5 linked regions of the Sus scrofa genome follow. The protein of the gene in region 1 purifies or fractionates together with the protein of each later gene. This does not show direct contact. Links are inferred from orthologs where the notes say so. Each region holds a gene or a part of one and is shown in the gene's direction. Other genes may lie near its edges. The genes, in order: RRS1, FTSJ3, NIFK, NPM1 and NOP56.

The links.
Region 2: the proteins of RRS1 (region 1) and FTSJ3 purify together in Homo sapiens (affinity purification with mass spectrometry; 3 studies listed by BioGRID and IntAct, counting the BioPlex papers as one, with this or other methods). This does not show direct contact. The link is inferred for Sus scrofa from reciprocal best matches to the Homo sapiens genes RRS1 and FTSJ3.
Region 3: the proteins of RRS1 (region 1) and NIFK purify together in Homo sapiens (affinity purification with mass spectrometry; 3 studies listed by BioGRID and IntAct, counting the BioPlex papers as one, with this or other methods). This does not show direct contact. The link is inferred for Sus scrofa from reciprocal best matches to the Homo sapiens genes RRS1 and NIFK.
Region 4: the proteins of RRS1 (region 1) and NPM1 purify together in Homo sapiens (affinity purification with mass spectrometry; 3 studies listed by BioGRID and IntAct, counting the BioPlex papers as one, with this or other methods). This does not show direct contact. The link is inferred for Sus scrofa from reciprocal best matches to the Homo sapiens genes RRS1 and NPM1.
Region 5: the proteins of RRS1 (region 1) and NOP56 purify together in Homo sapiens (co-immunoprecipitation; 3 studies listed by BioGRID and IntAct, with this or other methods). This does not show direct contact. The link is inferred for Sus scrofa from reciprocal best matches to the Homo sapiens genes RRS1 and NOP56.

The regions. Positions count from the first base shown.
Region 1 is NC_010446.5:68,284,996-68,289,685, reverse strand, and holds RRS1 (ribosome biogenesis regulatory protein homolog), read left to right. Parts: upstream 1-1,472; 5' UTR 1,473-1,597; coding exon 1,598-2,695; 3' UTR 2,696-3,883; downstream 3,884-4,690. Other genes in the region: ADHFE1 (hydroxyacid-oxoacid transhydrogenase, mitochondrial), read left to right, coding at 4,299-4,357. UniProt on the Homo sapiens protein: Involved in ribosomal large subunit assembly. May regulate the localization of the 5S RNP/5S ribonucleoprotein particle to the nucleolus.
Region 2 is NC_010454.4:15,111,807-15,115,818, forward strand, and holds the end of FTSJ3 (pre-rRNA processing protein FTSJ3), read left to right. Parts: coding exon 1-58; intron 59-137; coding exon 138-403; intron 404-937; coding exon 938-1,023; intron 1,024-1,106; coding exon 1,107-1,206; intron 1,207-1,289; exon of another isoform or gene 1,290-1,311; coding exon 1,312-1,495; intron 1,496-1,580; coding exon 1,581-1,675; intron 1,676-1,757; coding exon 1,758-1,950; 3' UTR 1,951-3,219; downstream 3,220-4,012.
Region 3 is NC_010457.5:29,717,422-29,722,237, forward strand, and holds the start of NIFK (MKI67 FHA domain-interacting nucleolar phosphoprotein), read left to right. Parts: upstream 1-1,602; 5' UTR 1,603-1,617; coding exon 1,618-1,662; intron 1,663-3,528; coding exon 3,529-3,687; intron 3,688-4,816.
Region 4 is NC_010458.4:52,778,928-52,783,606, reverse strand, and holds the start of NPM1 (nucleophosmin), read left to right. Parts: upstream 1-1,744; 5' UTR 1,745-1,961; coding exon 1,962-2,019; intron 2,020-3,944; coding exon 3,945-4,024; intron 4,025-4,679. UniProt on the Homo sapiens protein: Involved in diverse cellular processes such as ribosome biogenesis, centrosome duplication, protein chaperoning, histone assembly, cell proliferation, and regulation of tumor suppressors p53/TP53 and ARF.
Region 5 is NC_010459.5:32,962,104-32,966,617, reverse strand, and holds the start of NOP56 (nucleolar protein 56), read left to right. Parts: upstream 1-1,286; 5' UTR 1,287-1,314; coding exon 1,315-1,317; intron 1,318-1,472; coding exon 1,473-1,562; intron 1,563-1,911; coding exon 1,912-2,026; intron 2,027-2,573; coding exon 2,574-2,735; intron 2,736-2,891; coding exon 2,892-3,090; intron 3,091-3,449; coding exon 3,450-3,637; intron 3,638-3,717; coding exon 3,718-3,869; intron 3,870-4,045; coding exon 4,046-4,146; intron 4,147-4,504; coding exon 4,505-4,514. UniProt on the Homo sapiens protein: Involved in the early to middle stages of 60S ribosomal subunit biogenesis. Required for the biogenesis of box C/D snoRNAs such U3, U8 and U14 snoRNAs. Part of the small subunit (SSU) processome, first precursor of the small eukaryotic ribosomal subunit.

The DNA.
Region 1 (4,690 bases):
GAAAAACAGTGAGCTCAAGAAGAGACGAAACTCAGGGGGGCAGATGTGATAGATGGGGCTGTAGCTAAAGCCCTCTTGAGCTCACCCTCAACTAAATCTATTCCAAACAGCGATATCTATATTCATGGGTTAATTCTCCAACTAATCCCTTCTTCAGTAATCCAATTAAGATAAAATAAAACCTGTAAACCACACAACCAGCAGTGCCTCCCAAACTTGACCATACTCATCACCTAGCTATCTTGTTAAAAATGAAGGTTCTAAATCTTTACATTTGGGGTGAGGCCAAAGAGTCTACATTTCTAAGGCCCAGGTCACCACACCACACTTTTCAAGTATCAAGAGCCTGTAAAACATTGCAGAGAATATTCATGTAGTCTTAAAGCCAGCGTTAAAATAAATCCTGCTCCCAGCTTCCCTAGTTGTAAAACCTTAGACGTCATTTTACCTCTCTGAGTCTTCTGTTGTCATCAGTGGAATATGATGAATTACAGTAACTAACACTTACTGAATGCTTACTATGTGCCAGTAACTAATGCTTCATATTTATTAACTTATAGGACTTATATTAAACAATCCGTCCAAAGCAGGTACAATAAACATGGATCTTATTCTAGGTCGTTTAATTCAAGAGCCTGGTGTTTAATCACTGTGTAAGATTGCCCTTCCAGCCACAGCTCCTCAAGCCATTACGAAGATTAAACAGTAATTGGTATTTAGCTCACCTTCAGAGCACTGATATCCAGACCCTAGAGTAAGCTCCCTTGGGGGCATATTAACTCATTTATCTTTATAGTGGCCCTAGGAGGTAGGTACTATTAGTACTTTCATCTTACGGGTTTTAAAATAGGGCCAAATAAGTTAAACAGTTGAAGTTCAAACACCAGCGCAGTCAAGATTGTAACCAAGGCGGTCTAACAGAAGAGCCAGTCGCTCTTTAGCCACTAGCCAGGAGAGGATGTGAGAGGATGTAGCCCGGGGCGGGGAAGACCAGGCATCGGGCGGCTGGGATGGGGTCACGGCCGTGCCCACTCAGAGCTGCCTATGGCTTCCAAAGCAAACCAAGTCTTCGTCTACACTTGGCTTTAAGTACATCCGTGGGAAGGACCTCTGTCGGCCCACACCCAGGGCCCCATGGGCTCTGGTGAAATATAATTTATCTGTTCCCAAGAAGAACTGACTTAGTAAGTATCTTGAGAACTGACTTAACTTAGTGTAACACAGTCGCTCCGAGACCCCCTTATTCTGGGGCCCCCAAAATTTTCACTGCCCCTCCCTCCCTCACGCCACTGCCTAGTGGAAGCCCCGGTGCCAGTCAAACCTTGGACTTCGTAGTGCGCGGGTTCCTCGCTCCTGCTCCGCCTACATCCGGGCTGGAGCCCAAGGGCCGTCTCTAACCCCATCTGTTCTCCAACACCGCCCTCTGCCGGCCCTTCTTCGGGTCGCCCGCGTTGTGAGCCTTTTCCGGCTGCTCCGGAAGTGGAGCTTTCTCTTCCGGGACGAGCGTCTGGGCGACTGCACGTGGCTGTGTTGCCTTGGCCTTTGCCGGCGCTACTGGAGAATTGATTGGAACTGTTACCCCGGAACAGCCGGAGCCATGGAGGGCCAGAGCGTGGAGGAGCTGTTGGCAAAGGCGGAGCGGGACGAGGCGGAAAAGCTGCAGCGCATCACCGTGCACAAGGAACTAGAGCTGGAGTTCGACCTGGGTAACCTGCTGGCCTCCGACCGGAACCCCCCGACCGGGCTGCGGCATGCGGGACCCACGAAGGAGGCCGAGCTGCGAGCCCTGGCGCGGGACAACACGCAGCTGCTCATCAACCAGCTCTGGCAGCTGCCCACCGAGCGCGTGGAGGAGACGCTGGTGGCGCGGCTGCCGGAGCCCACCACTCGACTGCCGCGCGAGAAGCCGGTGCCCCGGCCGCGCCCTCTTACACGCTGGCAGCAGTTTGCGCGTCTCAAGGGCATCCGTCCTAAGAAGAAGACCAACCTGGTGTGGGACGAGGTAAGCGGCCAGTGGCGCCGCCGCTGGGGCTACCAACGGGCCCGCGATGATACCAAGGAATGGTTGATTGAGGTGCCGAGCAATGCCGACCCCATGGAGGACCAGTTCGCCAAGCGTATTCAGGCCAAGAAGGAACGGGTAGCCAAGAACGAGCTGAACCGGCTGCGTAACCTGGCCCGCGCGCACAAGATGCAGCTGCCCAGCGCGGCCGGCATGCACCCTACCGGACATCAGAGTAAGGAAGAGCTGGGCCGCGCCATGCAGGTGGCCAAGGTCTCCACCGCCTCTGTAGGGCGCTTCCAGGAGCGCCTGCCCAAGGAGAAGGCGCCCCGGGGCTCTGGCAAGAAAAGGAAGTTTCAACCCCTTTTTGGGGACTTTGCAGCTGAGAAGAAGAGCCAGTTGGAGATGTTGCGAGTAATGAACAGCAAAAAGCCTCAGCTGGACGTGACCAGAGCCACCAATAAGCAGATGAGGGAGGAGGACCAGGAAGAAGCGGCTAAGAGGAGGAAAATGAGCCAGAAGGGCAAAAGAAAGGGAGGCCGACAGGGTCCTGGGGGTAAGAGGAAAGGTGGCCCACCCAGCCAGGGAGGGAAGAGGAAAGGGGGCGTGGGAAGCAAGATGAATTCCGGGCCGCCGGGCTTGGGTGGCAAGAGAAAAGGAGGGCAACACCAAGGAGGAAAGAGGAGGAAGTAAATTTCAGCCTCGGACTTGTTTGTAAACCAAGAACTGTACTTAATGTTGACATCTAGGCACTGTAGGGGGACACCAAAGATGTGGCCCCTGCCTTCACTGAGCTTGAAGTTAAAGGGACAGCCTTGCCCTCCTCTGAAAATAGTATGTAAATATTGCACAGGACAAATTAATGTTATTTCCCACAACCAAAACTTTGGCTGAAGATTAAAGGATGTATTTAAGGCTATACGAATTAGGGAAAGAATTTGGTCGAAATTAGGAGTGAGTTCTGTTTTTAAACAGACTTTTTTTTTCCTTGTAAACTTTGTATGTGGTGTGAGGGAGGTCATATTTCAAAGACTTTTAGCATTGTTTTGATAACAAGCTTCTGTATTTATCAAAGTGGGGGAACAAAAAGATTACAAGGTTACATTTTCAGAACTGTTGTAAAGGCCATTTAATAAAGGTATGTCTGGATCTAATATTGCTTTCAAATTTTGTAAGTTTTAAGTAAAGCCAGTGACCTGGATACGTGTTACAGATTATTTTCATTTACTTTCTAGAAGATATCCACCAGCTAACTTATGACGTTAGCAAGACCGCTTTATTAGGAAAACTCATGCTCCTTTTGATACCTGATATATTATTGAAAGTGTACAACTGGTGTCTCTTTGAACACTGAAAACATTAATTTGCTCTAGCTGATAAATTTGTGCTTCACTAAATAATGCAATCTTAATTAATCCTAATTTTATACTTAAATTTTTATCAACATTTATGTCTCCAGTTCTTTTAAAGCTTCAAGTGGGATCTGTTTGGGGAAGAGAGAAACCCACAAAAACCTTGGAACATTATTATCTTTAGATTCATTTGTCACATTGACTTGAGCTGGTTTAATTAGGAGATGAAATGTTTACAGCTATCCTGGGTTTCTTTCCTTAATTGATTTCAGTAACTCACCTTCCTAAATATCTCCTGAAAATTAACAGTAAATCTAGAATGGGGGGAGGGGGCTTTTTTCTGCTGTTAGAGCTCTAGGGAGCCACTCTACTCTTGGTTTTTGGTCTGACAATTGATAGGAAATTAGAATTGGGAGTTCGTTTTGTCTTTTTTTCAGTGTTGTTCCCTTTTTACAAAGTTGTAGAAATTGCTATGAAAGAAAGGATTAATTCAGATTTCATAATGGGTTAATAAAAATATGTTCAATTGTTACTGTCTTAAGATAACTTTCTGATAAAGAGCTGTGCCATCGATAGTGTTTCTGCTAGGACAGGGGGCAGAAGGCAACATAGCATTTTAAAGGAGTCAGAGTGGAAAAGAATGCTCTTTCTCCACATTTCCCAGGTCTCCGACTAGTGACAAAGAGGATTTACACAGAGACTTGGGGAAGTATCCTAAACAGTTACCTGCATGGCAATTTCAAAGGCGGAGGGTGAGACCCTGCAGCTGGAGCAGTCGTAGTTCCGCCTCGTGGGAGAATGGCCTGGAGCCGGAGGGCTGCTGTGGGGGGCGCGAGACCCAGCGGAGCGGGTGGGCGGGCGCGGCCGAGGGGGCGGAGGGGAAGCCAGCGGCACGGATTGGCCGGCGGTGGGGGCGGGGCCCCGAGGAGGGAAACGGTGCAGCCATGGCCGCTGCCGCTCGCGCCCGGGTAGCACACTTGCTGAGGCAACTGCAGCGCGCAGCGTGAGTACGGGGTCGGCAGGCGGGCAGGGGACAGCGCATTCTTCCCGCAGTCATTTTCAGGAACTTTGGATCGCGTTGCCGCAGTGCGCGCCCGCGGCGAGCCAGCCTAGACAGCTCCGTCCCTGTGCCAAGCAGCCAGCGCTGCGCGGTGAGGCCGCTTGTACTCTGCCAGTTCTACGTTAGGGAAAGTAAGCCCCAGAAAGGAGAGCACCCGGTCTCAGATCAGGGCGGGCAATGGAGAGCCTGGCACAGTGACCAAGACAAATGCATGTGTCCAACCAACACATACGTACTGGGTGTATGTTATCGTGCCAAAAACTATTCTAGGAGCTG
Region 2 (4,012 bases), on another chromosome or scaffold:
GCCACTCGAGGAAAAGGCGGTACTGCAGGAAGAACAAGCCAGCCTGTGGTTCTCAAAGGCAAGCAGCAGCTGGGTGCCAGGATGGCCGGGACTGGCGTCCTCAGGGCAGGGGGTGTCTGACGTTTTTGCCACCACAGGATGGCTTCAGCGGGATCGAGGATGATGCTGACGAGGCCCTGGAGATCAGCCAGGCACAGCTGTTGTACGAGAGCCGTCGCAAGGGGCAGCAGCCACTGCCAGCACCTTCCAGCGTGAAGACTGAGAGAAAACCACCCCCATGCCAGGGTGAGGCCCCTGAAGGGGCAGGGGCTCCTTCAGGGACAGAGGCTGCCACAGGCCCTGGCGGGGAAGCCAGAGATAGCAGCTCTGACAGCGACAGCAGCAGCAGTGAGGATGAAGACACGTGAGTGGTTGCAGCTGACGGGAGAAGGGATGAAGAGGAGCAGTGGTTCTAATCGTTGCTAAGTTGGGGGTCTTCAACCTTGCCGGTAGATGGGGAATTTAAAAAATACTGAGTAGGAGTTCCCATTGTGGCACAGTGGTTAACGAATCTGACTAGGAACCATGAGGTTGCGGTTCGATCCCTGGCCTCGCTCGGTGGGTTAAGGATCTGGCGATGCCCTGAGCTGTGGTGTAGGTCGCAGACACAGCTTGGATCTGGCGTGGCTGTGGGGCTATGGCATAGGCCAGCGGCTACAGCTCTGATTCGGCCCCTAGCCCGGGAACCTCCATATGCCATTGGTGCAGCCCTGAAAAGACAAAGACCAAAACAAGCAAAAACTGATTAAAGTGGTCTGCAGGACAGCCTGGGTGGCGAGGTTCTGGAAGTTCCCCAAGCAGTTTTAAGGAGAACCAGGGTGCGGTGAGGCAGGAGTGGGTGTGAGTGGCATGTATGATGGTGGAGCATCCTGCAGTCGGACTCCCCCCTCTTCCCCAGTTGGAAACCACGCAGTCAGAAGCGAAGACGGGGGCCTGAGGCAGGGGATGACGACGGGTTTGAGATCGTGCCCATTGAGGACCCAGGTGAGAGCTCCAGCCCTAGTGGAGTGGGAGGCCACCGGGAAGGTTGTGTTGAAACTGAGCTTTAACTCTCCTGCTCTCTCTAGCGAGACATCGGATACTGGACCCTGAAGGCCTGGCTCTAGGCGCCATTATTGCCTCTTCCAAAAAAGCCAAGAGAGACCTCATAGATGACTCCTTCAGCCGGTAAGGAGCCAAAAGTCGTGAGAAGTGGCCCAGGCGGGTGGGGAGGGAGGATTTCTAATTTGAAAGCCTGGGGTGGTCACCAGGGCTGGCGTACTCTCCACGCAGGTACACATTTAATGAGGATGAGGGGGAGCTTCCAGAGTGGTTTGTGCAGGAGGAGAAGCAGCACAGGATACGACAGCTGCCTCTTGATAAGAAGGAGGTGGAGTATTACAGGAAACGCTGGCGGGAAATCAACGCCCGTCCCATCAAGAAAGTGGCTGAGGCTAAGGCCAGAAAGAAACGGAGGGTAAATGGCCGGGCTTGCCGAGGTTCCAGGTGGAGGGTGGGGGGCAGGGGTAGGAAGGGTGAGCCTCACAGAGCTCCTTCTCCAGATGCTGAAGAAGCTGGAGCAGACCAAGAAGAAGGCAGAAGCTGTGGTCAACACGGTGGACATCTCAGAGCGGGAGAAAGTGGCACAGCTTCGAAGGTGAGGGGCGGGGAGTCGCCCGCGAGGGTGTGTGAGGTTGGGGAGCGGCCGAAAGCCTCTGACCTGGGTCCTCCATTTACAGTCTCTACAAGAAGGCAGGGCTTGGAAAGGAGAAACGCCAGGTCACCTATGTCGTAGCCAAAAAAGGTGTGGGCCGCAAAGTACGCCGACCAGCTGGAGTCAGAGGTCACTTCAAGGTGGTGGACTCGAGGATGAAGAAAGACCAAAGAGCACAGCAACGGAAGGAGCAGAAGAAAAAGCACAAGCGCAAGTGAGCAGAGCTGCAGGACTTCCAGCAGGACTGTGTAAGGACGAGGCCTTCCGCCTCCTCAGTACCATCCCGTCCCTTGTTGCCAGCATCACAGTGTGAAAAGACAGGTGCCGGGCACTTGGGGGTGGTCCTGTGCTGTGAGGGGGATGTCTTCCTGGCTGGAAGAAGGGCTCCTGTTAACATGCCACTGAAATGTCCTGTCGGCACCATCCCAGACCCCACAACCGTTGTGGGGTAAGAAAATCACACCCTTTTTAAATCCTAAGCGGGGGAGTTCAGTGTTGGGATGGCACGTGCTGTAGTCTGCTCCTGGGCAGGTGGGCATCATCTGAATAAAATCAGGATGATCAGTGCGTGGTAACTGTTGACACCACGTGCTGCACTGTTCCAGATCACAGTTAATACGTACCGACTCATGGTGAAGTAAATGACAAACAATCCACAGGTCCCAGTAGTAAACCATTTACTAGAGCAAGCAGAAAGGAATGCACATCTTAAAGAAACCTTCACAAAGTCACAAAATTTGAAGTACGTATATTTTTCCTTTTATAAACAAGATAGAACAAAAATCATCAAAATCATTTCAGCAAAAGATTCTTCTACCATTGTGGCAAGTTAAAAAAAATACAGTGAAATAGGAGAAGACACTTTAAAAGCTGTTGTTGGATTTTTGCTTAATTTTCCATTTAGCAACATTTCAGGCCCAGCGCGGCTCTGGGTCTGGCAGGCTGCTGCTTCCTGTCTCAGGGCTGGGGAACCTGAGCATCACTTTTCCCTCAGAATCAGACATCTCCCTTCCCTGCAAATGTTTGGATGCACCAAAGTGCTTCCCACACATCCCTAACACCTCTGTGGATTGGGTTCGTAGGAGCAGCCAACTCCTGCAAAGGGGTCTGCCTGGCCACAGAAAAAGAACTTTATTTGTAGATGTTTTTAAGGTGACATTTTAGTAAAAAATATGCACTACATAGAATATAAACCTAGAATGAGTTTTGTGCCTTATAAGGCCCTTTCTTCCAAGGTTTCCTCAACTGACCCTCATGACAACTCACCCAGAGCCAAAAGAAGCTTCTCAGGTCTCACTTCTAAGGACCAAAGCAGCTTCCCAAAAACATCTGAAAAATGACCCAGAAGAGGGGGTAATGTCTCCAAGCTCCAACTACTCACTAAGCACAGGGGGTCCTTGCACCTTGGGCCCCAACCCAGCCCTGAGACACCTAGTTACCAAAAATCTTTCTAAAAATAAAATTAAAGACAATTGATTCACACTTCAGCACATACCCTTTAACTGTCCCATCGACTTTTCTTGCGCTTGGGGGCTCAGGGACAGCAAACCCATCAGCTGTCTTATCTGTCTTGCTGTCTGTCTTATCCGCCTTGGTGCTGTCTGCTTTGGGGTCCATCTTGCTCTCACGATTACAACTTTCTTTCCTGCTTTCACCATTCCGACCATCGCTTGCGCCTCGGCTCTCCCCGTGGCGGCCTCCACCTCCTCCGTGCCTGTTCTCTCCATGAGGGTGGCCATCAGTGTGACGCCGGCCATCGGCATGACGGCTGCTGCTTTCTGGGTAGCGGTATCCATCTCCATGGCGACCACCATCTCCATGACGCGGGCTCTCACCGTGCCGATTGCCACTCTCTCCATGACTATGTCGGCTGCCACCCCGGTTCTCAGTATATCGCTCTCTCTTCCCATTGCCACCCCCAGTCCCTTCTCGGCTGTTATTCCCTGGAGCTGTGTTGTTGACTCCCTGGGCTCCGGCAGAAGGGTAGGTCACTGGGGCGCTGCTGAGGTTGCCAGCACTGCCAAAGGCTGGGACGCCCTTGGTGGCACCGGCAATAGGGCTGTCAGGACTGTTATGACCCTGTTGGGCTGAATTAGTTGGAACTGAATTCAAGCTCCCTGCACTAGTCCATCCACTTGCTCCAGCAGCAGAGCTTCCAGCCTTCTGGTTGCTTAAGCTGGCAGCGACAAAGTGACTCTTGTACTGTGACTAAAAGAGACAACAGCAGGTGAGATACTAAGTTAAGAAACTTGACGGCCCCACAATTCCATGGTTTCTGTG
Region 3 (4,816 bases), on another chromosome or scaffold:
TATGGGTCAAATCAGAATTGCATTTGCCAGCCTACACCACAGTCACACAACACCAGATCCAGGCTGAGACTGCAACCTATGCCACAGCTCACGGCAACACCAGATCCTTAACCCACTGAACGAGGCCAAGGATCAAATCATGTATAGTAGTCAGATTCATTAATGCTGAGCCACCATGGTAACTCTTGTATGTTTTCACTTTTATGAGGAATCTAAAAAATAAAGCAAACGATTAAATATAGCAAGGCAGCAGCAGTTCCACAGACACAGAGTAATGGACTAATGGGGGGAGGAGCAAATTGGGTCAGAGATTAAGAGGTTCAAACCACAAGGTATAAAATAGACAAGTAACAGGAATGTAATGTACAGCACAGTGAAATAGCCAATATTGTATAACAACATTATATGGAGTATAATCTATAAAAATATTACTAAATTGTATACTTGAAATTATTGTAAGTCGACTACAACAAAAAAGAAAAAATTAGAATTTTTTAAATGATAAGATCATTGCTTTGATAAGTCCTTTTTTTTTTTTCTTTTTTTGGCTGCCCCAAGGTATATGGTGTTCCTGGGCCAGGGAGAAGATCCAAGGCACAGTTTTGGCCTATGTTGCACCTGCAGCAACACTGGATCATTTAACCCACTGCACTGCACCAGGGACTGAACCTGCATCCTGGCGCTGCAGAGATGTCACGGATCCTCTTGTGCCACAGCAGGAATTTCCACCAGTCTTCTTTTTTTGTTGGCTTGTTTTTGTCTTTTTAGGGATACACCTGAGGCATATGAAGTTCCCTGCCTTCGCCACAGCAACAGCAACACAGGATCCAAGCCACATCTGTGACTTACACCAAAGGTCAAGGCGATGCCAGATACTTAACCCACTGGATTGAAGCTACATGCTCATGGATACTAGTAAGGTTCTTAGCCCATAGAGCCACAGTGGGAACTCCAATAAGTCCTATTTTTAAAGTCCTTGACAGATTTTGCCAAATCTCTTTCTAGAGAAACTGAACTCATCTCCATCCCCCTGGCCACTTGGCTGCACTCTCCTGAGTGTGAATGTTAACACTGTAGACATTCTGGGCTCATTTAAGGGTGAAAATATGACTCATTTAATAGTACTGAAGACTCTGTTATAGGTGGTACACTTCTACAAGTTTCCTTGAAGGGCAGTGAACCCTATGAGCAGCTACCCCTCTCCACTCTCCCCACCCCCATCCCTCCAGGAGCCCCCCCCCCGCCCCCCCCCGCTTTGCCAAGGTCATTGCCACACTCAGGGTCTAGATTCGGGGTTGTGCATGAAGTTAGACCTGGCACAGGGCAAGATGTGGCCAAGGTGATAGTCACAGAGAAGGACAGAGAAAGAAAATTTCCCTCCCAACTTCAGGTCCTGTGGCCCTAAACTGAATACAGGCGGAATTTTTAGTTGTCAGGTGACATGTCCTGAGGCTGCACTATTGAGACTAATGAAACAAATGACACTTTCTCTCCACTTCCCCTAAAATTGTCCCTTTCAGCCCAAAAGCCCTGTGACTGAGCAAGGGTCAGCCAGGCAGGGCTGAGCATGCTGACTCATAGCTGGAAGGTTGGATGACCCCTCAGGGACCAGGCACAATGGATGGAAAAGGAGGAGAAGAGGAGGAAGGCGAGCAGGGCTGGGTAGGCACCTCAGCCCCACCTCTCAGAGTCTTCTGTTCCCAAGACCCAGCTCCCTAGATACTCAGCACACCCTGCCTTACCCTGAAGCTCTGACATCAGCCCTCACCATGCTACCTACCCCATCCCCTGCCAGGGGCTCCAGTGCATAGGTGGTGATGGTGGCCCCATAGGAAAGACATGCCACTATTGAGTTCCCACAGAGGGGTGGCATGGTGGGTGGTCAGTGGGGGCAAAAGAAAGGAGAGACATTCATTGAGCACACGCAGCCACACACTCAGGTCTGTAGAAGTGTCTGGAGGCATTTGGTTGTTAAGTGACTTGGGGGGAGAAGGGTGGTGCTGACATCAGGTGCTGGAGACAGGGTGCCAAGGCAGAGTGGGACACACAGTCCAGTGAAAAATTGTTCTACCCAAGAAGCCTCTGCCCTCTACAAGAAAAATCGGAAGGAGAAAACGTAATACCCAAATTTTAGGTAGTGCATTTGTTTTCATTGGGCAATCTGCCACCTCTGTCTCCCATACTGGCTGGCATGGACTACTACTGTAGCCTTGACTCCCTGTTTCTTCAGTCCACCTGCCACCCTAACTAGTGGAGTTATTTGAAAGGTATGAACAACCACAGCCTTCCATAAAACCCTCCCATTCCCCTGCATTTACAATAAAACCCAAGCTTTCAACCTTGACAAGCAGAGCCCTGGAGCTCCCACCTGCACCCTTGGTCCTCACCCCTTGCTGAGCTCCAGCCACAATGGCTGGTCCCTTCTTTCCAGCCTAAGACCTCCATGCCTGCTCCCCATGCCTTCAGGTCTCAGCTCAAAGCTACCTCCTCCGGAGGCCCTCCTTGCCACCCAGGATGCCTCTCCCCCAATCTCTTCAGTATCTCACATAGCACCAGACCCACCCTCAGACGTCCTTTATCTGCCCCTCCCCCCAAGCTCTAAGTTCCCCAAAGGCAGCAGCAGAGGGACGCACAATAAGAGCTCAAAAAACAAGTGAAAAAGGAAAATAGGGGAGTTACCATTGTGACTCAGTGGTAACGAATCCGACTAGTATCCATGAGGATGTGGGTTCCATCCCTGGCGTTGCTCACTGGGTTAAGGATCCTGCGTTGCCAGGAGCTGTGGTATGTGGAGTTGCTATGGCTGTGATGTAGGCGGGTAGTTGCAGCTCCGATTCAACCTGTAGCCTGAGAACTATGCTGAGGGTGCAGCCCTAAACAGCAAAAAGAAAGAAGATAAATAGAAAAGAATTAATGGTTAGCAAGACCTCAAGGGCACGAGTATTGTTTTGGGGTTGGTTTCGTTTTTGGTTTTGGTTTTTGACTGCGCTCAGGACTGGAGGAAGTTCCCTGGCCAGGGATAGAAACTGCAGCAGCTACCTGCCCTGAGCCAACCCGCTGAGACACCAGAGAATTTCTGGAGTCGATTGTCTAGGGGTCAAATGAAAGCTGCAGCTGCCCGGCTTACACCACAGCCACAGCAACACCAGATCTGAGCTGCATCTGTGACCTACACTACAGCTCACGGCAATGCTAGAACCTTATCCCAGTGAGCGAGGCCAGCGGTGGAACCCACACCTTCATGGATGCTAGTCGGGTTCTTAACCTGCTGAGGCACAATGGGAACTCCCTGGAGTTGGTTTTTATCCCAACCCTGGCCCTTGAAATGTGAGGGCCATAGAGGAAACGCTAACAAGCTATTCACAGCAATTTTGGGGAGCTGGCAGGTGTTAGAGTGAGGTCAGCGGCTGTTGAGGCAGGGGACGCCGGAGCTCGCTGGACCCTCCCCGCGCCCCGCCCAGGCCCCACCCCCTGCCGCGCCGCGTCGCGCCCAGGCCCCGCCCTCACTTCCGCTTTGGAACCCTACAGGACTCGCATTTCCGGGAGCTCCGCGTGGATTTGGTTAGCCCGGTAGCAGGCTTAATGGCGGCTCTCGCTGCCCAGGTTGGGCCGCTCTTGTCCCTGAATCCGCAAGAAGATGCTAAGTTCCAGAAGAAGGTAGCGCTGGCTCGCCGTCGCGCAACCAAGGTGAGTGGCCTGCGCGGCCCCAACCGCGAGAGGAGGCGGCTGGCGCGCCCTGGGCCTTCTGCCCAGCGCGTCTCGGCAGCCCCACGCCTGTGCCTCAGCAGGGTCACCCTGGAGGCCCCGACCCCAGGAGACTCCGACCCCAGGAGACCCCGACCCCAGGAGACCCCGACCCCAGGAGACCGAGGTTTTCCCGAGAGGACCGAAAAATGAAGGGGTGGGTGTTGGGGTGACGATGGAAAAGAGGAGGCCAGCCGATGGGAGCGCCCCTTGTACCGCAGATCAGCCCCAGATCCGAAAGAGCGTTCTTTGGCTCTGCCCCTGTAGGGAAAATGTGGCCTCTGTTCACTGGCACTAGTTTGGGAGTCGGAGTTTTGAGGAAGAGAAAGAACAGTTTTATTGCTTTGCCAGGCAAAGGAGGACACGGCAGGCTAATGCCTCAAAGCTATGTCCTGACTTGAGAGGGGATAGCAAGGGGTTTTATAGGTTTAGCTCGGAAGACAGGATTATTGATTAAGATGTCTATGTTATTCTTAATCCATAGATCATTTCAAAGTAGTCAAATCCGGAGTCAGTCGGTTTGGTGATGGTTTCTGGTTGTCTTCAGGGTTATCGTCCCTTGACCTTCTCTCTGGAATAAAGACTGCTTAAGGGGAAGGGGTGTCAGAAGAGTGTTTCAATTATAAAAGAAAACATTAGGTGCAATATAACTCTGATTAGAAAGTAAACATTAGTAATAAGTTAGCAGACCAAGGCAGGACACAACATAATGGAGACTGTTTTAACTAGGTTTTAGCTGTAACAGTATTTTCTAATCATTAACTCTCGAGTCAGCCTTTTGAGACTGAGGGGAGGCCTGGGAGACTAAAGGAAAGGCCGTTTATTTCAAAACACAAAGATTTAGGGTCTGGTACATGGTTTCATCCCCAAATTGGGGAGGTTCGGTTGCCAGGTCCATGGTTTTGGAATCCTTAAGAGACAATTTTTGCCAGGCTTCATTTGCTTACGACTAGGGGCCCTGACATAAAGTTCTGTTTCCCAAAGGTTTTAGCATAAAATGCATTCCCGGAAAACTTAAAAGTCCTTATTATAGAAAACAAGGGTATGTTGGAGGTACTGTTAACTAACGTCT
Region 4 (4,679 bases), on another chromosome or scaffold:
TTTTTTAATTGCTTGACTCCATGAAATCATAACTAGACTAGGTGTCTGAAACAGAAACACAGCAAATGTATTTATATAATATGCACTATGGCTCCCAGAGAGTTCATGCTCTGTGCAAAACTGCACTGAATAATCATGGTCTAGAAAGCTGAAAGAAATTATAAAGTCATTTCAATTTTTCTTGCAGGGGCCCAAAGAACATTAACCCCTTCTCCACTCCCCTGTAGCTCTTTCTCTCTCTCATTCTAACACCTCTAAATCCGCCTCAGGCACAGTCCTCTCCTCCCTTTTATCAGCCTTTCTCAGTTCCTTTACGGATGTTCTCCGCTACATCTTTTCTCCCCAACAAGTGGCAATCCGTAGTAACTTTCCAAGACTCGGTTTTTTTCTCTAGTAATTGGTCACACTCTGCATTTTAAAAGATGCTAGAACCAAGCTGGTAAAGACTTTTTTCAGTTGGGAGCAGGGAAAAGCGGAGAACAGCTTAGTCCATTCACAAATAAGCATTGATTTCTCCACATTTTGAATTTTGATTCTGTTAATTATTGGTTCATGCGTATCACAGTTTATCTTCCCAAGTAGCCTATGTTTGGAGAAAAGGCGGTAGGGGATTGCTGTCACTATTTTTATTCTTTACAGTACTTTAATTTTTTAAATTTGTGTAAAAACCATAATTGTGGGGATCTTCAGCACCCCTGCCCGAGGAGCTGCGGTTGGGGGAAGGGTGGTCCTCAGTTTGACAGCGTACTTTAAGATACTCATTTCCAGGCTCGCTTCCAGAGTCTAAGTTTGTGTATTTCTTAAACGTCAAATGCCTTCTTTTCAGGCCAGAACAACCTTAGTGATGTTAAAGATTAAGAACTGCACAACCTCAGACACTGGACCCCCGTGTAATCCCCCGAGCTTTTAGACAGGTGTTAGTATTAGACTTGGAGCTAGAGAACCCTGTTTCTGTAACCACTCCGTCTGGGCACCTTACTTCCTCGTGGCGCGTCTCCCTGTCCGCAAAATGGGGATAGTCACATCTGCCTCTTACCTGTTACGTGGGGACATACGGTGGATACACAACCCTTTTAAAACTTTCTCTTTGGAGAAATCACCCAGGCTTGGTTCCTGCCCTGCTCATATGAAAGAGACCGATTTAGAACCCCCTGTTGGCCTCCCAGTGACGTAATGTCGAAGAATTTTAAATTCGGAGATGTTTCCTCAGAAAGGACAGGGGGTTAAAAACAGAACCGATTAAGTCTGGCCAGCAGCTACATCTTTTCTCCCCAACAAGTGGCAATCCGTAGTCCACTGTCTCTGGCACCTTAAGCTTTAACTTTGGGGAAACAATGAACTCTGGGCTCAGGCCTTCAGGCGAGCCAAAAAACTGGAAGTGGTTATGCCTGTTTGCAGGCCTGCGAGGCATGAGGAGATGGCGAAAGGAGAAATGAGCTGCTCTCTGGTTCACTTACAACCAGCTCGCCCTTCGTACCTAACCCAGCTAAGAGTTGCTGCCGCCATTTTGCAGGGTGGGCTGCGCAGGCTCTTGGCGCAAGGCCCGCGCTCCTGAGCGGGAGAGGACGTGGAAGGTTTGGAGGGTGGGGGAACGCGCGCTACGAGGGGGAAGTACGCGTGCGCACAGGCGGTGGCGGCGAAGTGGGTGGGACCAGGGTACGAATGCGCGTGCTCGGTGGGAGCCCGCGAAGTACCTGGAGGAGGTGGGGGGCGAGGTAGCAAGGAGTGATGTTGAAGAGCGCTTGCGCAGGAGAGAGACTGTGCGGGGAGGGGGGCTTCCGAGCACGCGCGCGGAGGCGGGACTTGAAGAGCTCTCGCGAGATCGTCAGGGTGCTATATATGTGCGCAGGGAGCCCGCGTCCTTTCCCTGGTGTGATTCCGTCCTGCGCGGCTGTTCTCCGCAACACTAGTGGATTATCTCCGTCCGCCTTCTCTCCCACCCAAGTGCGTGCCACCAACCCATGGAAGATTCGATGGATATGGACATGAGCCCCCTGAGGCCTCAGAACTATCTTTTCGGTAAGTACTGGCGTGTTGGGCCAAGGCCGAGCGCGGCCTGGTGGCTTTGGAGTGGGTGGTGGAAATCACACTGAGGCCTGGGCAGGTGGAGAAAGCTAAGCAGGCTGGAGGCCTGCGGGAGTGGGAAGCGAGCTGCTGGGGTCCTGAAGCTTAAGGATGGGGACCTGGGAGGGCGAGCCGGCACCACGGAGTGACTGGGAAGTAAGGGCGGCCTGAAGCGTGAGCGGTCCGAGGCCCAGGGCCTGAGTTAATGTGGAACCCACCGGTTTAGGGTTGGGCGTTAGCTGGGGCACGTGGTAGAGCTCCGGGCATAATTTTTTCCTGGGGTTGCGTGAGTTGGTAGGCTTCTGATTCCAGACTAGTGCCTGATGCTGGACTCCAGGTTGGTGGTGCAAGAGATTGTGGGGGATCAGGGTGTGAGACGTGGGCTTCCTATCTGGACGGAGAGGACAAATGGAGCCTGGCGTTGTCCTACAGGCCTAAAGGGTCAGGAGGTCTAGGGCCCAGACTCGGCCCGGGTTCTTCGGCCGGTTACAGGGGGATGGGAGCCGCGGCCCGGCGTGGGGAGGCCGCTACCGCTGGGAGCACGTGGTTGCCACGTGGTTGGGGGAAGGAGGGGTGTGGGCGCTACATCCGGGGTTCACTGGTGTCTTGTCACTCCGAGCCTGGGGTCCTGGGGCTTAATTGAGGATGGTGGACGGGAAATTTTAGGTGAAGTGGTTCGTAGCGCCAGTACTCTTGAGGTCTTTGTTAAGTGGTTAACATCAGTGCTGGTAGTTCTAGAGTTCTTTTTCTATCTCTCCGCGCTCTTTGCAGATGACTTACTGATACTCGGAAAACTGAAGGTTGCACTTAATAGTTCCAACCCCACAACGCTTGCTTCCAGAGCTGGTGCTTTACAAATGATTTGGGAGGTGGGCAGCAGAGGCAGCCTTCTGTTAAACTTGTAGTTCTATTACCAAGGTTTTGTTGCTCACCTCAATCACACAGTGCCATCCTAGGAGACTTGGGTTGGTTTTTCAACTTCACTAAACTTAATTGTTAAAGCCATTTTTTTTCGGTTAGGTTTTGAAGAAGTGCAAATGCCTTCAAGTTCATTTTGTTATATATCGTGCTGAGATATGTTAATTGAGCAGGAACATTTATACATCTCTTGCAGTAAATAAGTAGATGGCAATTAAATGGTATTATTTAAATTAAAATTTAGTTCTGACTATTAAAATCAGTTTGCCTATTCATGAGTGGTAATGGTAACATGCGCTATACATTAAGGGTTTTATTCTTAGCCGGTTTGAAAAGCTGGAGTTTCTGATCAGTTTATATCAAAAACGTTTGTGTTTACCCTCGGAAATATCCCTGGGATATTTCTAGTTTTGCCTTAGATATAATTTCTGAACAGAGTTTATATATATCACTTGTTAGTTCAGAGATGGATTGTGGACCCGTGTAACAACCTTTAGTTCTCCTACTTTGTAGTCTTTCTGTGTTGTAAATACAAGCTGTCGATGTATGTGTTTGTGTAACCACTGTCATTTCTAAATTGGCACTCCTCCTGGGAGTTGGGGTAGGTAATTCAACTTTTTAAAATAGTGGGGTTTTTATCAACATATGTTAGGTTTGGTTTAAGTTCCAGCTTTTACTAAATCTTTGATACTGTTTCCACCTAAGAAGAGTGTAGTTGAGCATAAAATAGTATGATGGAAAGGAGGAATTTATAAAACTATGAAAGTTATTTGCTCTATATGGATGTTATTTGATGTTTATAGACTTGTGTGTTCAAGAAGGCCTGTAAGAGGTACTTCTGCCTTGCTTTTTGGTAGCTAGAATAGAATAGTAAAATCAAGTAACTTTTGGTTACCCACAGTGACGTTTCATTCAGTGTTATTTTTCTCCTTGTTATAGTAGGGTTGTTTCCTCATTTACAGGTTGTGAACTAAAGGCCGATAAAGATTACCACTTTAAGGTGGATAATGATGAAAATGAGCACCAGTTATCTTTAAGAACGGTACGTAAAACTTTTCAAGACAAAGTACTCTCGATTTCAGACACCGCTTAATTTGTGTGGCTTAACATTAGAAAAGTATTTCTATAGTTGTTGTATATGCTTGGTTTTCCACGTGTGTTATAGAAAACCTGCCGTCTTTACCACTCATTTGATATTTTGAACAGTCCAATCACACTGTTCAGCTTTCCTTATTTTCACTGTTACTGTTTCTCTATTTGCTTTTTAGGGCCGCCCCTATGGCATATGAAAGTTCCTAGGCTAAGGGTCAAATTGGAGCTGCAGCTGCCGGCCTACACTGCAGCAACACAGGATCCGAGCTGCCTGTGCAAATCTGCACTGAAGCTCCTGGCAACATGGGGTCCTTAACCCACTAAGGGAGGCTGGGGATCAAACCCGCATCCTGATGGATACACATTGGGTTGGTAATCCAATGAGCCACAATGGGAACTCCCCAGCTTTCCTTATTGTGTCATCTACTTTTCTTGAGTTGTATTAAAAACTCTTTAGGGTAGTGACAAATATACATCTTGTTCCCCAGAGACTAGGCTATAGCCTACTACTTAAATTGTAGGTGGCCGGTAAATGTTAGGCGATTCATACTGTGAGTTAACAGTGGTGATGGCATAAGTATGTGTCATCAAATGCATTTTAGTGT
Region 5 (4,514 bases), on another chromosome or scaffold:
CACTTCAGAAACTTCTATTTAATTTGCTATTTATAACGCTTAAAAGAACTTACCATACCGATATAATACATTAATTTTGCAATTTCACTTTAAAACATGATCTTGCGTAACTGCTTCAGATTCCTAACTTTAAGCAGATACGTGTAACAAGATTTAAGCATATTTGTAAGCAATATATCGAGACCATAAGATTTTAAGACTTACCAACCACACGTAAAATTTTAATATTTTAGGTTTTAAGAATGAGCTCAGTACTTGGATTTTGTCAAATAACTGAACTGCTTAAGAAAATAAATTTATAAATACGCTCTAGTTATGGGAATTTGTTTTTAAAAAGCCCCTTAAAATGATTTTTTTTTAATTTACCAGCATATATACTATTTCGAAATAACCAGGCTTCGGATTTATAACTCTAACATTAATTATTAAAGCAAAAGTAATTTCAAAAGAGTCTGCCTAGTGCCCCAAGGACACGGAAGCAGCTGCAGTTCACTGGGGGCCGGGTCTTAATAAGAATTTAGGGTCGTTCACCACGGCGAGCAACACGTGGCCCCGCAAAAAGAGTAGGGTTCATCCGAAGCAGAGAGCGAGAAACCGAACTAGGAAGAGCAGGGGGTAGGGTCATCTTTCTTTCCTACTTCATAGCCTGCCGCCCTCATTTTAAAAGATAAATAAAATATAACTTAAAAGCACGAAGCCAGCCAGGAAGAATCACGTTGAGTCAGGGTCCGGGCCAGCGCGCCCCAGGCCCCGCTTCCATCTCGGTAAAGAGCGAAGAGCTCACTGACCCGAGGCTCCGGAGAGAGTCGTTGCCTAGCGGCGGACGGGGACAAAGGGGTCCTGGGGGTGTGGGTCTTGGGACTAGGCCTCGGTGCCTAAGTTCCCAGCCCTATGGAGAGCGGGCTCCGCAACAGTTTCGGCTGGGAAGGGTCGCCGCGGCCCGCACAAGGCCTCCTGCCCGGATTCCGCCGAGCTCTGCTGCCGGTAACTTCTGTGATGAACACATGCGGGATGGCACAGTTAGCCAGAAATGCGTCTTTCCAAACCGTTTGGTAGCCTGCAAGGCCTAGAGCGACCCGCGCGTGCCCGACAACCGCGCCGCAGCAGAGGCCGGAAAAAGCCGGCTCGCCCGCGCTCGCGAGCCCCGCCCCCGCTTTGCGGGCCATACCATCCCGCTGGACCCCTCTGGAGGCCTGCAATGGTATCGTCCCAGACCTCTGATTGGCTGATGGCTCGGGGGCGTGGCCTCCGGAGCCCGGTTCCGCGCGCCAGAGCCCGCTCGCCGCATTGCGAGCTGGGCCAGGAGCGAGCGCCATGGTGAGGAGTGGTTGTGGCGTGCGGGCAGGCCGGAGGCCGTGGTTTGGGGCTGGGTTCGGGCCGGAGCCGGCACCGGGGTCGGCGCCTGCCTCGGAAGAAGAACCGGGTGAACGCGGGGCTGGTGCTGATAGCTTGTGTCCCGGCTTGCTTTCCAGGTGCTGCTGCACGTGCTGTTCGAGCACGCGGTCGGCTACGCACTGCTGGCGCTGAAGGAGGTGGAAGAGATCAGCCTGCTGCTGCCGCAGGTGGGTGAACGCAGTGGGCTCGCCGGCTGCGCCGCATCCCCCTGGGCCGCGCGCGGCCCAGCATGCACCGCGCGCTCCCACGTGGCCGGCCGCGAGTTGTGGAGGGTGCTCTGGGCCAGACAGCTCCAGACCAGGGGTCCTTACTTGCTTTCACGATTAGAATCGCGTTAGAAACATTTGAAAGTAGCTTCCTGGACTCCATCCCATACCAATAAAGTGGAATCGGCATTTAGGGCCCATGATCGGTTTATTAGATCCTTAATGTGCGTTCGGGTCTGAAAGCTGCTGCTTTACTGCGCCCTAGAGGCAAGAGGGAGGGAAAGAAACCATTCATGCTTTCTCCCCCCAGGTGGAGGAGTGCGTGCTGAACTTGGGCAAGTTCCACAACATAGTTCGTCTCGTGGCCTTTTCTCCCTTTTCCTCGTCTCAGGTTGCCTTGGAAAATGCCAACGCTGTGTCTGAAGGTGAGTTGGCCACTAAGTATTTTGGGAGAGAGAAGCCGAGATATGGTTTCTGCTACCGTTATCCTCTTAAAGCACACCGTGCAACAGCAGAACAGCCAAAAAAGGTGGTTAGCGCAGTCGAGGACATAGGCTTTATCGCATGTGGCACTGTGGTGATAAACTCTTAAATCTGGTGGAGATGAGGGACTGGTGCTTAATTGGAAAGGGCAGTTTTGACCAAGGGAGGTTTGGTCTCAGAAGGCAGTTCAGTTTCTGAATGCTTACATTGTGCTCCATATTTCTCATTTACGTTATTTCGCCTGAGTCCTCCCATGTTTGATGCAGGCTTTGCAGTGATGACTTGAATCTGTCAATCCCCTGAGTATGATCATTGATGTCTCCATGTGTCTGAGCAAAGCCTGGAGCAGCGGGGGTCCTGGCACACCATCCTAGCATGTTCTGCAAGACCATTGTAAGATCACTGTGTCACTCAATAGGCAGTTGAGGGGATAGGATCCCTTTATGCGTCCTTCAGCATGTTAGTGGGAGCTCTGTTCTTTGCCCTGAGGTGTTGTCCATGAGGATCTCCGCCTGTTCCTGGAGACTCACCTGCCATCTAAAAAGAAGAAAGTACTCTTGGGGGTTGGGGACCCCAAGATAGGTGCTGCTATACAAGAGGAGTTGGGGTACAACTGCCAGACTGGAGGTGTGATAGCTGAGGTCCTTCGAGGTGAGACCATCTATTAATGAAATCTTAAAGGGGGTGTGGGAACTTTTTTATTAAGGTGCTTTAAGGGTGCTTCTGAGAAGCCCTGTTTGGGTGGTGCCCACGGATGCGGGAGCTAGCTTAGAGCCCCTCCTTGCTCACAGTCTTGCCCTCCTCCAGGAGTTCGACTGCACTTCCACAACCTGGTGAAAGGTCTCACTGATCTGTCTGCCTGTAAAGCCCAACTGGGGCTGGGACACAGCTATTCTCGTGCCAAAGTTAAGTTCAATGTGAACCGGGTGGACAATATGATTATCCAGTCCATTAGCCTCCTGGACCAGCTGGATAAGGACATCAATACCTTCTCGATGCGTGTCAGGTAAAGTGTAGGGGTGACCCTTGCGAAATGAGGTGTTGGGTCTGTGGTTTGGCTCATTTTGAATCCTGAAATCGAGACTGGCTCCTGTGGGTACATGTGGGGTAGAGCTGGGCCTCCCAGTGCTTACCACAGGCTGTGTTCTTACACTGACTGTATAGAAAGAGGAGGCAGAGCAACTCACCCCATATACACCTCAGCCCAGGCCCTTTGCTTGGTCTGTATTGTGAATGGGGGGACACGGAACAAGGTTTTGGATGTGACTTTTCCTCTTGGCAAAGAGTAGATGTGGAGAGGGCTGGGGCCATGGTTTTATTTGGGACTCAGCAGCTGGGCCAGGGAGTGATTGTGGCTCTTTGCAGGGAATGGTATGGGTATCACTTTCCCGAGCTCGTGAAGATCATTAATGATAACGCTACATACTGCCGCCTTGCTCAGTTCATTGGAAACCGAAGGGAGCTGAACGAAGAAAAGTTGGAGAAGCTGGAGGAGCTGACAATGGATGGGGCCAAGGCTAAGGCTATTCTGGATGCCTCTCGGTCCTCCATGGGTCAGTGCAGTGCCCAAAACTAAAATCAGGTATGGGTCTCTGGCTGTTTGGCTCCTGCACTCACACTTGATGTCCTTTAGGCATGGACATATCTGCCATTGACTTGATAAACATCGAGAGCTTCTCCAGTCGTGTGGTGTCTTTGTCAGAGTACCGCCAAAGCCTACACACTTACCTGCGGTCCAAGATGAGCCAAGTAGCCCCCAGCCTGTCAGCCCTAATTGGGGAAGCGGTGCGTCACGGGGAAGAAAAAATGGGGGCTGGAGGAATTACGATGCCTATTTGTACGGTTGTATTTCCTGACCCGTCGTATCTTTCCCAGTTGAACTTGACGGGGAGGAGATGAAGCAGGATTATGCAGTTGGTAGGTTGGCAGTTCCAGCCTCTAATTCTTAAATTCTTCTCCAGGTAGGTGCACGTCTCATTGCTCATGCTGGCAGTCTCACCAATCTGGCCAAGTATCCAGCGTCCACAGTGCAGATCCTTGGGGCCGAAAAGGCCCTGTTCAGGTACCAGTGAGGGCACCTGCCTACACTCAGGTGCCACTTCTGGTGCCCACTGCTTGTTCGGGGATCACAGTGATGGCTGACCAGGGCTCCCTGACCTATACAGTCCTCTGCTACGGGGGTGATGGCCAGTCCTGGTGTCTGAGTGATTCCTTGGGCCCAGCAAAGGGACCAAGTTTCCAGGTCAGCGACATTGGATGCCTTTCCTCTGCCTCTGGGAGCGATGGGTTGGCATGAAATGGGGTAGAGACCCAACCCCAACCAAAGCTCACTCTGGAAACTGGGGGCAGTGGGGAAGGAAGGCACCACCTTGGTTGTAGTTTCTAATCTTCAAACTCTCCACTCAACATTCTTCTCCCAGAGCCCTGAAG